Rhinolophus ferrumequinum: one gene and its partners. The protein of the gene in region 2 purifies or fractionates together with the protein of the main gene of each other region. This does not show direct contact. Links are inferred from orthologs where the notes say so. Each region holds a gene or a part of one and is shown on either strand. Other genes may lie near its edges.

The links.
Region 1: the proteins of ZNF830 (region 2) and PPIE purify together in Homo sapiens (affinity purification with mass spectrometry; 3 studies listed by BioGRID and IntAct, counting the BioPlex papers as one, with this or other methods). This does not show direct contact. The link is inferred for Rhinolophus ferrumequinum from reciprocal best matches to the Homo sapiens genes ZNF830 and PPIE.
Region 3: the proteins of ZNF830 (region 2) and PPIL2 purify together in Homo sapiens (co-immunoprecipitation; 4 studies listed by BioGRID and IntAct, counting the BioPlex papers as one, with this or other methods). This does not show direct contact. The link is inferred for Rhinolophus ferrumequinum from reciprocal best matches to the Homo sapiens genes ZNF830 and PPIL2.

The regions. Positions count from the first base shown.
Region 1 is NC_046292.1:27,843,670-27,847,417, reverse strand, and holds the start of PPIE (peptidyl-prolyl cis-trans isomerase E), read right to left. Parts: upstream 2,644-3,748; 5' UTR 2,156-2,643; coding exon 2,086-2,155; intron 1,637-2,085; coding exon 1,538-1,636; intron 474-1,537; coding exon 430-473; intron 1-429. UniProt on the Homo sapiens protein: Involved in pre-mRNA splicing as component of the spliceosome. Combines RNA-binding and PPIase activities.
Region 2 is NC_046304.1:22,917,585-22,921,332, reverse strand, and holds ZNF830 (zinc finger protein 830), read right to left. Parts: upstream 2,535-3,748; 5' UTR 2,486-2,534; coding exon 1,376-2,485; 3' UTR 164-1,375; downstream 1-163.
Region 3 is NC_046308.1:23,003,756-23,007,503, reverse strand, and holds the start of PPIL2 (RING-type E3 ubiquitin-protein ligase PPIL2), read left to right. Parts: upstream 1-1,147; 5' UTR 1,148-1,255; coding exon 1,256-1,287; intron 1,288-3,304; coding exon 3,305-3,354; intron 3,355-3,748. UniProt on the Homo sapiens protein: Has a ubiquitin-protein ligase activity acting as an E3 ubiquitin protein ligase or as an ubiquitin-ubiquitin ligase promoting elongation of ubiquitin chains on substrates.

The DNA of each region.
Region 1 (3,748 bases), on a different chromosome or scaffold from region 2:
AGCTAAACAAATAGTCAGTAGGAAAAAGAAAACAGGACAGAGTCACCCCTACACTTCTTGTCTAGGTTGCATATGCATCTAACACAGAGCACTTCCTGGCTGACTTTAGAGCTGGTGGTACAGCAGTTGGCCATCTAGTGGAAGGCGTAAGAGAATTACCAGTGCTGTCAGGCAAGAATGCTCTAGGAGCAGGCCTGCAGGAGTTCTGCAGACCAAGAGGGGCAGGACCTGGCAGGTCTGGGATGCTAACCACAGTCTATAGTTTGATAAAGTGAGGGAAGTTTTTCTTCAAACAGCACTTCTTGTCTCCCTGGTAGCATCAGCATGAGGCCCAGAAACCTAACCAACTGGAGAACAGCTCCTTTTGTAATCAGTAAGAACACTAACACAAGCCAAAGAAGAAACATAGGTAACAAAGAATTTTCTCACCTCTGCCAACTCAAATTCAACAAAAGCAAATCCTCGGTGCTTTTCTAAAAATAAAAAGGAAAACACAAACAAGTAATTTCCACGTGGGGCAATGGGAAGAAACAGATGGTCACAAGAAAAGTAAAGTTAGTCACATACCATATCCAGACACTAGAAATTCACCCAATCACTATTTGGACTCTCATTCTTTGACTCTTCCTAGTTTAAACAAGATTTCAAGCAATATTAAACGTTTTTTAGTGAATATAGCTAAATAATAAACTACACTTTTAATCTTTAAGCATTCAATTCTTCTACCAAAGCCAAATTAAAACCTTAAGCTTTGCATGCAAGGCAATTAGAAAAAAATACATCATTTATTCTCTCAATTATTCAATACAAATATACATTTTGAGCATCAACTGTGCATAAAGCATGAATCCTGAAGATAAGATAAGGCTGCTCAGTCTTTATCCTCAGGAATATGCTGACCTACCTAAAAAGGCCAAGCACAGAAGTTTTAATTTAATTAAATTAACCAACTAACCTTAGAGAACGAATATAACTTACGATTTTTTACAGATAAAGATCCCAGGCCCAGAGATTTTAAAGACATTGCTAACAATCATACAGGGTCAATGATAGAGCTGGGCCTAAAACTCCAATGTTAAAAATGACCAACAAAGGTAAAATAGAAAACTGAACTGTGATACCTATTGTAGAAAAACTTATCCAGGTGCAGAGGCCAAGGTCCCAGTGTTGGGTTTGGGTTTCCTGCTGCCCTGTTTAATAGCACAGCTGCCAAGAAGGGAGCACGTGTGGTGGGGTAACCAGCAAGGATCCCCATGTAGCTCAAAACCTGTCTTCCTATTGGGCTACTGAAAATTTTGTGTTATCTCAAAGCCAACAGGTGGGACTCTGCAAACTTATGTGACAGTTCACAAACACAAGCCTCAGAATATTCCTTCGGCATCAAAATGGCTGCCATGCTGCCCTACTGAGGCACTCACCGGAACTTTCCTACATACTAACCATATTTGGAATGCACTATGATATGACTTTAAAATTTTTTAAAAAGTTGTTTTCCTAGTAGGAGGATTCTGAACATGAGAGACACTAAAGGACTCACCTGTTTCATAATCCAGAGGAATCTGAATATCTGTGATGTCTCCGAAAGGAATAAAAGCAGCATGAAGAACTTTGTCGTCCACCTCCTCTGCAAGTCCACCTGCAAAGACATCAAGGGCCTTCTGAGTCACTGTCCTTCATTCTCTTAAGAAGTCCCTGCAGCCTAGTTAGCATGCTATAGCCAAGGGGAGGGGTCATTCCATCCAGGACTTTGGGTATAAGCACCCCTCTCATCTGCTCCCTCATCAATACTTATGAAACACACTGCTCTCTCTACCCTTCTTGCAGATCCTCATCTAGACCTAGAATTACTACAATGACTTACTAACTGATCTCCCTCTCCTCCACACAGCCAATTAGAATGATCCTGGGAAGGTGCCGATTTTAACCCATCAATTAACTGTTTAAACTCCTTCAGAAGTTTCCCACTGGCCTCAGGATAAGGTACAAACTCCTCAGCAGGCTCTTCCTAACCGGAGCCCTGCCCACTTCTTCAGCCTCTTTCCCTCTGCTTCCCCAATTCCATGGGTTTCCCGCAAAATGACCCACCTGCCCCCACAAGTAAGACTATTTCACACCGCTGGCTTCTGCTCTTGCTGCTCCTCTTCCGTAAACACATTTGCCTCTACTTTGGCTACCTGGCTAGCTCCGGCTCATCAGCTCCGGAGTCACCGCATCCTGAAAGTTTGTTCTTACCTCTTCAGATGGAAGCATCATTTCTCCCCGCACCCAGCCCCATGTCATCATTGTCCGTCCCTATCAAAGCGCTTAATCAAACCGTGCTGACTGAGATTATTCTCACTTCTACCTGGCTAGTCTGGCAATCCCCTCCTTTAGGGCCGGGGCCAGGACTGAGCCATCGCTGCAAATGAATGTTTGTAAAATGAGTGGGCGCGAGGATTTGGAGGCCCATAATATTCCTCTACCAATCCTCCGGGCCCAGGAGGCGAAGAGGTTCCTGTTAGAGCTCAGCAGACTTGGAAGGGAGCCGGCAAGATCTCTACGTTTCGGGCTAACATCCTGAAGCATAGCAGTAAAGCCATAGGTGCCGCCTGGACAGCTGCTCGCCGCCCTTCGCCTCGGATCCCGCGCCTGGCCCCAACTGGATCGGATTCGCCCAGCCCGCGCCTAGCGCCTGCGCCTGCTCACCCACGTACAGCACACGCTTCGTAGTGGCCATCTTGCTCCCGGCAGTCCCTCCGGAAGCCGGCGTTGGGCCCACCCACCTCGCCCACGGCCCCGCCCCTCCGCTCCGCCCTCGCGTCTCGGCGCTTGCAGACCCCGCCCACTCCTGCCAGGGCACACCCCGCTTCCCGCGCTACCTGAGATAAGCGTTTAGGGGGAAGCTCCCTGGTCCAGGTGCCGCCGGGGCTCAGTGCTGCTGGAAAGAAGTCTGGTCGGAATCAGGCGGAGTCCTCAAATAATAAACTGCTACAAATAAACTGCGGTCCGCCGGCCTCCCCCGGCCGCCTATTTTCGGGCAACCTGTGAGCTAGGAATGGTTTTTACATCTTTAAATAGTTGGGAAAAAAATTAAAGCAAGACTATCTCTTGACACGTGAAGAGGTATGAAATTCAATTTTCAGTGCCCATAAATAAACTTTTATGGGAACACAGCCATGCTCATTCCTTAAGTATTGTCTGTGGCTGCTTTCACGCTACACAGGCAGGAGACGTAACGGCCTGCAAGGCCTAAAATACTCGGTATTTACCACCTGGCTCGTCAGGAAAAAAGCGTGCGGACTCTTGGAATAAACCAACTAAAGCATAAATCACAGATTGACGTGTGGTAGAAAACAACAGGGCCACCTATTTTAGAGCAGTGGATTAAGACCTCCCTGAGGTCACATTTAAGCTGAAATCTGAAGGAAGAGGAGCCAGAGAGAGGAGGGCACTGGGAAAAGGATTTCAGGGAGAGGAGACAGCTTCTGCACAATCAAGGAACTGAAAGGCCACATGGTGGGGGATATGAAATCAGGCAGGAAAGGTGGGAAAGGGCCACACCCTGCAGGGCCCTGTAAGCCATGTGGAGGATTTGGGGGCTTTGAGAAGCTACCAGAGGTTGTAATGAGAAGTTCATGGTCATATTTATGTTCTAAAATGGGCTCTCCCTGACCACTGTGCCCAGAATGGATTGGGCGGAACCCTGGAGACCAGGAGGTTAATGCCATAGACTAGGGAAAGGTTGATGGTGGCTTTCTCCCTCCAGTCC
Region 2 (3,748 bases):
CTAGACCAAATTTATACAAAGCTCTTAGAGTCCCTTAGTAAGAACCCTGTAAGTCTTAGGTGTTATTATTACTGTTCTCTTTTATTTGAATATGCTGTATGCATTTCTATGTTCAGACATTGCTAATTCCCTTTTTCCTATTTGAATACCTCTATCTCCAAAGGGAGAAGGAGTGATCTAAACTATCAATGACCAGCAAAAGGCAACTGTTACTCCTTGAGAAAACAACTTATATAGCAGGTCCTTGAAAAATGTCATTTTCTTTGTTCAACATCCTTTCATTATAACACTGATGAAATGCTGTAGGAATTTAATTCTTGTTTATATCAATTACCTATGGTAAAATTCATTTCATTGTATCATTTTGCTGCAGTTCCAAGAACATATCAAAGACGTTAAGTGAGGACTTACTGTATATTCTTTCTACAATAGACAGAACTGATAACTCTGAACCCTAATTTGCCCCAAAATGTAGTAATAAAATTTAAGACTGGATGGAATATTAAAAAAAGGTAATATTTATTTTATACACTAGACAGTAAACTTATGGAACATGTTAGGTAAAGAAAAAAACAAAGCCTGAAAAATTATAAATGGGTTCTGGATTTAGGGCAGTGGCTCTCCAACTTTGGTGTAATTAAAATAAACTGGGAAGCTTTCAAAATTAATACAGATGCCTGGGCCCCACTCCAGATTTACTGAAATCTCTCTAATCGTAGGGCTTGGGCACACACATTTTTAAAAAGCTTCATAGGTGATTCACGTGCACCAACATCTGAGAATCACTGGTTTAATCAAGAGAAATTTTGGGTTAAGGAGGCTGGTCCTGTTTGGCATATTATTTTTCACCATGTTCTCCTGCAGCATGTTTTCGAAACAGAAACAGAATACTCAGAGGACTGATTAGCCCTGAATGACTTATGTATCTATGAACAATGTTTCTAAAAACAAAAAAGCAAAGCCCCTCCCACTCTGGAGTTTGATTTAGGGGGTGAGAAAAGAAAAAGCCATATACATCCCAAATACCACACTTGGTATTCATCTACATGCCTGCCTGTTGGTCTTACTCCCATTATAAATTTACAAACAGAATTACTTAAGTCAATATATATTTAACTATGTACAATATTTACAGCTCACAAATTTTCCAACCCAAAAAATTATACATTTAAATCCGTAAACATGTGAAAAAGTTGGCATTTTAGCATTTACTTCAAAAATTTCAAAACAACTTTACCTCAGAAACATTTTACATGAATTTTCCAAAGTGCTCACTATACCACAACAACCAAGTTATCAAACCTTTATGGAGTAACCAATAGAGAAACACTGTTATCCAATCGCAGAGTGTTAGAAATCTTGGGTCCTTGAAACCCTATAACAAAGCCCCTTTCACCCTCCAATCCTGAGACAATAAATCCTGCAGTTCTCCCTCATCGTCGCTGTCAACATTCTCTTCTTCCTTTTTCTGCAGTTCTTTTATGGTTAGAACCTCCTTCAGTTTATTTTTTATTTCATCCTGGCGATTCCGCAGGTTCTCCACCCGACGGTAACACTCTATCTGTTCATCGATCTCCCCAATCTGCCGGTCCAACCGTCCCTCCTCATCCTCTTCAGCAACTATGGCTTCGGAAATAGTGTTGACCTGTCTCATGGCTTTTTGAAATTCGTCCCACTCTTTGTCCATCTGATCCTTTGGGGCATCAACCTTTCGTACCTTCGCATCTATCTCAGGGTCGTCAAAAAACCCTTCTGGTAATGCTTCCGCGGTGTTTTCTCTCCTTTCCACGACTTTTTCGTGTATTTCTGCTTTCTCAATTGACCCTGAATGAGGAATTAAAGGGGCCTTGGGAGGATTTGCAGTCGAGAAATCGCTTGGCAGGATACTACTTGTTGCCTCCCGGGAGGAAGCAAGTGAGTGTTCCTTGCCCTGTGCGTCAGGCGGCTGCTTGCTGGCGTCCCCCCGTTTCTTTTCTCCTCCTTCCTCCTCCTCCTCTTCCTCATCTTCATAATCAGGGAGTAAACCGAGTCCCGAAGCCTTACCGAGAGCGGCTCTAGTGGACTCCTTTCCTGTTTTGTCAACGTTGGTGGGCACCGCGGACGTGGAGGGCTGCACCTGCGGCACCGCGGAGGCCTTCGCTCTTTTGGCATCGTGGCCACCTGCGTCCGGCGCCTTCCTCTTGGTGGACTGAGGCACAGCGCTGGTTGATGGCCCCTCTGTGGCTTCCTTCGCATCTTTCAGTCCGGCTACTTTCTCTCGGTGCTGTTTTCCCAGGACGTGCGTCGGCCACAGGAGCTCGCTCTTAACCGGGGTGTTACACAGCACACAACTCAGCTGCCCCAAACGGTTGTACCTCGCAAGTGGAGAGTCTATCCGTTTCCGGTTGGTGCTCAGGCGCTGCTTCTCCTTCATCAACCGCCGCAATTCATCTTGACTCACCACTCGCTTCCCGCCCGAAGACCGAGCCGAGGCGGAGGACGCCATCTTTGCGACCGGCCCCAAGGCGATTCTGGCTTCCGTCCCGGCGATGTTTGTTAACGTCACTTCCTGTCCGGTCGGGGATTGGCTGAGGTTTCGGAGCGTGGGCCGTGGCGCCGGGGTGGCCCTTAGAATCGCGGCTCAGGCTGTTTTTGCCGGTTAGGTGGCTCCTTCCTCTATCGGGTTATGTCTGCAATTAAGGCGATAAACTCCAAGGCTGAGGTGGCGCGGGCCCAAGCGGCCTTGGCCGTCAATGTATGCGCCGCTCGAGGGCTGCAGGATGTGCTGCGGACCAACTTGGGTCCTAAGGGCACCATGAAAATGTGAGACGGCGGTTGGAGCGGCGGTTGGGGCGACTGGAGTTTGTTGGGTGTCGCAGCGCGCACTGAGGCAAACGTTGCGCGAAGAGATTCGAGCAATGTGGACACACTTGTGGGCCTGGTTTCCCTCTTTCTCATTCCTCCCCTGAGGTCATCTCTATCCTGATGGTGGAGGAGGAGAAAAGCCTTCCCGAGGAGAACGCTCCACGAGTGAATCTGTAACCCCGCCACCCCACCCCCCCGCGCCCCACCAGTTTTCGTTAAGGTTCATATGCAATTAGAAAGTCAGTTCATGTAGTGTTTCATAAGGAACATAAACCCTCTGACTCCCTTCTCTTTAATACTATATGTCCTTCCTTTTGGTTTTGTTTGGCAGTGTGTTGTGGAGAGGGCGTGGGATTTGGAGCCTGGTAGGCATGGGTTCAAATCCAAGTTCCTCTCCTAGGTAGCTGTCAGTCCTTAGGCAGATTACTTGAACACTCTTTGACTAAGGGCCTTCAGATCTGTTCATCCTTTCAGCATTTATTTATTTAGCACCATTATTTTCTTTAGAAGAGAGTGACGGAAAGAGACTAGTGTGGGCAGAAAGGTGTAAGAGGAGAGAGTCTTCGAGGAATGAGCAAAATAATATTAACACTAAAGGAGAGCATTAATGTACTAACTGGGATGCTGGGAACACGCTGATGACCCAGATAGTTTCAGTTCTTGAGATTTGGTAGAGACGAAATATGTATATGTCCACCTATGTATATACCCACGTCCATACATGCATACATATATGTGATTATACTGAGGGAAAGGGACTAATAATTGATGGGAGAAGAATCCTCTCAAGTAACGGATTTTTTAAAAATCTTTTCCCAATTACAATAGTGGAAATAATTTTATTTTCTTAAATTTATTTTTCATTTACAGTTGATATAATATGTTAGTTTCAGTTATACAACAT
Region 3 (3,748 bases), on a different chromosome or scaffold from region 2:
TTCTTGTCCTGGGCTTTCTAGGGGCTGTGTAATCCAATGGGCTCCCTCACAAAATGCTTGATAACTACTGGACATTAGCAGATATTCACTGAACCTTTGTGTATGCCCCATACCTTGCTTGGGACAGGAGATAATAAATCAAGCAGTTAGGGTTTCTGCCCTTAAGGAGCTTACTACATCCATCCTCGTGTGTGTGTGTGTGTGTGTGTGTGTGTGAGTAAACCAGTGCATAGGTCAAATTCATACAGATTACAAGTTGTGATAAGCCCTACGGGAACTGAGATGGAGATGTATGAGGTGGGTGGTCAGAGAAGGTCTCTGAGGAGGTGACATTTATGTTGAAACCTAGAAATGAGGAGCCAGCTGCCAGCTATGAGGTGAGAAAGGCAAGGACAACTGGCTTTGGGTCACTAGGTGGATAGTGGTACCATTGTGGGGAGTAAGGGAATGGAGAATTCTGCTTTGACGAGACACATTAAATTTGAGGTCAGTGGGTTCCCGAGTAGAGGTCAGGAATCTGGAGCGCTGGTATATTAGTGTTGGGAGTCAAATGGTATTTAAAGCCACTAGCCTGGGGAAGATCAACCAGTGCTTGTGTGTAGACAGAGGTCCAGGGCGTAGGCTGGGGCACACAACATAGTGATCTGATTGAGGTAAGGGTTCTCTGAAGAGACAGAAGGGATCAGGGAGGGCTTTTGACCTTCAGGCTTGATGGCCACCTGCCCCTAGGCCGCTCAAGAGAAGGCCCTGGAGGCGGTAGGAATGGTATAGGTGGAGAGAACTGGGAGGTGAGTGTGTTGACAGCAAATGTGGACGTCGCTTTGGAGGCCTCTGCCACGGAAGGGAGCAGAGATGGGGCAAAGGCTGGTGGGACTTAAGGCTCCAGGCTGACTTTTATTTAAAAGACCTGAGAACCCAGGTCAAACCAGGGCGGGTTTTGAGTAGGGATGGCACTGATTGGAGCTGGACCGGTAGGCGAGGCGCTCCGGAGAGAGACCCCCGAAGAATATGGGGCTTCGAGGTGGAGGCAGCTCAGCCCGGACAAAACGGAAGTCTAACTCGGAACTCAGTCCACCGGCCGCCGCGCCCGCGAACGGACGTGCTTGGCGCCAGGGACCACAGTTCTCCGCGAGCGGAGGGCCCGCTTCCGGGACGGGACCCGGAAGTGGTTATGGAGCTCCGCTGAGACACAGCGGACTGAGTTGTCTGTTGTTTTTCTGCGCTCCCTGCTCCTGCCACTGCCTCTGCCGCCGCCATGGGGAAGCGACAGCATCAGAAGGACAAGATGTAAGTTGAGCCTCAGCCGGCAGCGGGGCCCCACTCTGCCTCAGTCTTCGCCTGTCCCGCACTCAGCGCCGCCCCCTTTCTCTCTCAGAGCTGGTCCCCAGGGTCCCTCTCTGATGTCGTTTCCTCCAGGACACCTCCGCTTCTTCCCCAGCCGCCGAGGTCTCTCGAAATCCCGGCTCTAATATACCGTAGGTGTCCTCACCTGAGTGCGGCCCTCCCACCGCTTCGGCGCCGCGCGGGCACCGTCCCTTCGACTAAGCTTTTGTCCCGGACCGCCCGCCTGTCCACTCGCGAGTTCTGCTCCCGAATTAATTCCTCTCTCTTCACCTCCAGTCTCTCGCTGTGTGCTGGTTCGCGGCGATCAGCCTACACACATGCTACAGAATCTCCCCGTTTAAAACAAACTAACCTTGCCCGTATTCCCTTCCAGTTGCCACCATGTTTCTTACGTGAAAGACCTGTGTCTACTTGCTGTTTTCTGCTGTCTCTTGAAACCACTCCAGTCAGGCTTTCGCCCCTTAGGACTCTTGTCAGGATCGCAGTAACTTCTATGTTGCTAAATCTAGTGGTCAATTCTCAGTCCTCTCTTTGTGGACCTTGTCAACAGCAGTTGCCCACCCCTCTCCTTTGGAAGCCCATCTTTGGTATCTGCTCTTTATTTTCTTTCTTTCTTTTTTTTTTAATTATTCCGTATTTTATTATTTCTAAAGTATCTAGTGATCAATTTTGGAAAAATGCATAATTGTTTTTTTAAAAATTTATTGGGGTGACAATTGTTAGTAAAATTACACAGATTTCAGGTGTACAATTCTGTATTACATCATCTATAAATCCCATTGTGTGTTCACCACCCAGAGTCAGTTCTCCTTCCATCACCATATATTTGATCCCCCTTACCCTCATCTCCTACCCCCCACCCCCCTTACCCTCTGGTAACCACTAAACGATTGTCTGTCTATGAGTTGTTTTTTTTTTTTTCAGTCTACCTCAGTGGCTTCTCTTTTCTCAGTCTCCTGTGCTGGATCCTGCTCCCCTCTCCAAGAACTCATAGGTCGACATCCCCCAGGTTTCGTCTCCGTTTACATTCTCCCTGGGTGATCTCTCCAGTCTTGCAGTAGTCAGCTGCTTACTCCACATCTCCACTTGGAGGTGTGATAGGCGTCTCAAATTTAATATGCCCCAAACTCTTGATTTTCAGCGCCAGAGCCTGCCCCCTCCCCCATCTTCCCTATCTCAGTGGTCACATAGCTACTCAGTTTGCTCAGGTCAGAAGTCTGGGAGTTAGCCTTGGTTGCCTCTTTCCCTCAGCTCGCTCTTCCTCTAGTCCATCTTAAGTCCTGCTGGCTCTTCCAGGAACTGACCACTCTTGTCCACCAATTTCCATGTAGGTGGAGTTTATGCCAACTCCTTCCTGGACCGTTGTAGTCACTGGATTTCTGCTGCCTCTTTTGCTTGTCCTTCTACACGCAGCTGTCAGTGATGCTTTGAGGAAGGATGGTAGATCATATCAAGGCCCTGCCCCAAACCTTCCAACAGCTTTCCGTCCCACAAATCCAGTCCTTACATGGCCTGCCAGGCCCCCTGTGATCAGACCACTGTGACGTGTTTCTTTGCTGCCACATGCCCCCAATGCACACTCTTTTTCAGTGACTTTGCCCTTGTTTGGGAACACAACAGCTTTCTGTGCCTCGGGGCTTTTATGCATGCTAGGCCTGCTTGCTCCCTCTGCCTGGAAAGCTCTTTCCCCACATCTTTACAGGGCTAGCTCCTTCTCATCACCAACCCGCCTATTAGTTTTAGTTCATTTCCTTCAGAGCAAAGCACTGTTTGTTTACCAATTTGTTTACCAATTTGTATATCCCCATGTCTGTTGTGTTTATCATTGTGTGCCTGACATAGAGTAGGTGTTTAATAGGCATTTGCTGAATGATTGAAATGCTGCAGTTATCCATTACTTCCAGAAACTCTGTCCTCTCTATAAAGAGGATGGTAGTACGATTCTCTCTCTCTTCTTCAGGTACATTACCTGTGCTGAATACACTCACTTTTATGGTGGCAAAAAACCAGGTAAGGCATAAAATCCTTCTGTTCCCCTCAGTATGTGTGGGGGTGTAATTAAAAAATGACATCTTCACTATACAATGAACCTGTAAAAATGAACAATTAACAAGAATATGGAAACTGGTAGAGACAAATGGGCTGTGGACACAGAAAATTCAGAAAAGAGGAAATACACTAAACATATGAGAAACGGTTTAATTTTAGTGGTGGGTTTTTTGTTTTGTTTTTTTAACATGGGTTAAAATAACATTCTTTTCTCTATCAATTTAATACAAGCAGGCATACCTTGCCTTACTGTGCTTTGCAGATATTGCGTTTTTGAGCAAGTCTGTGGGTGCCATTTTTCCAACAGCATTTGTTCACTCCCTGTGTCTGTGTCACATTTTGGTGATTCTCACAA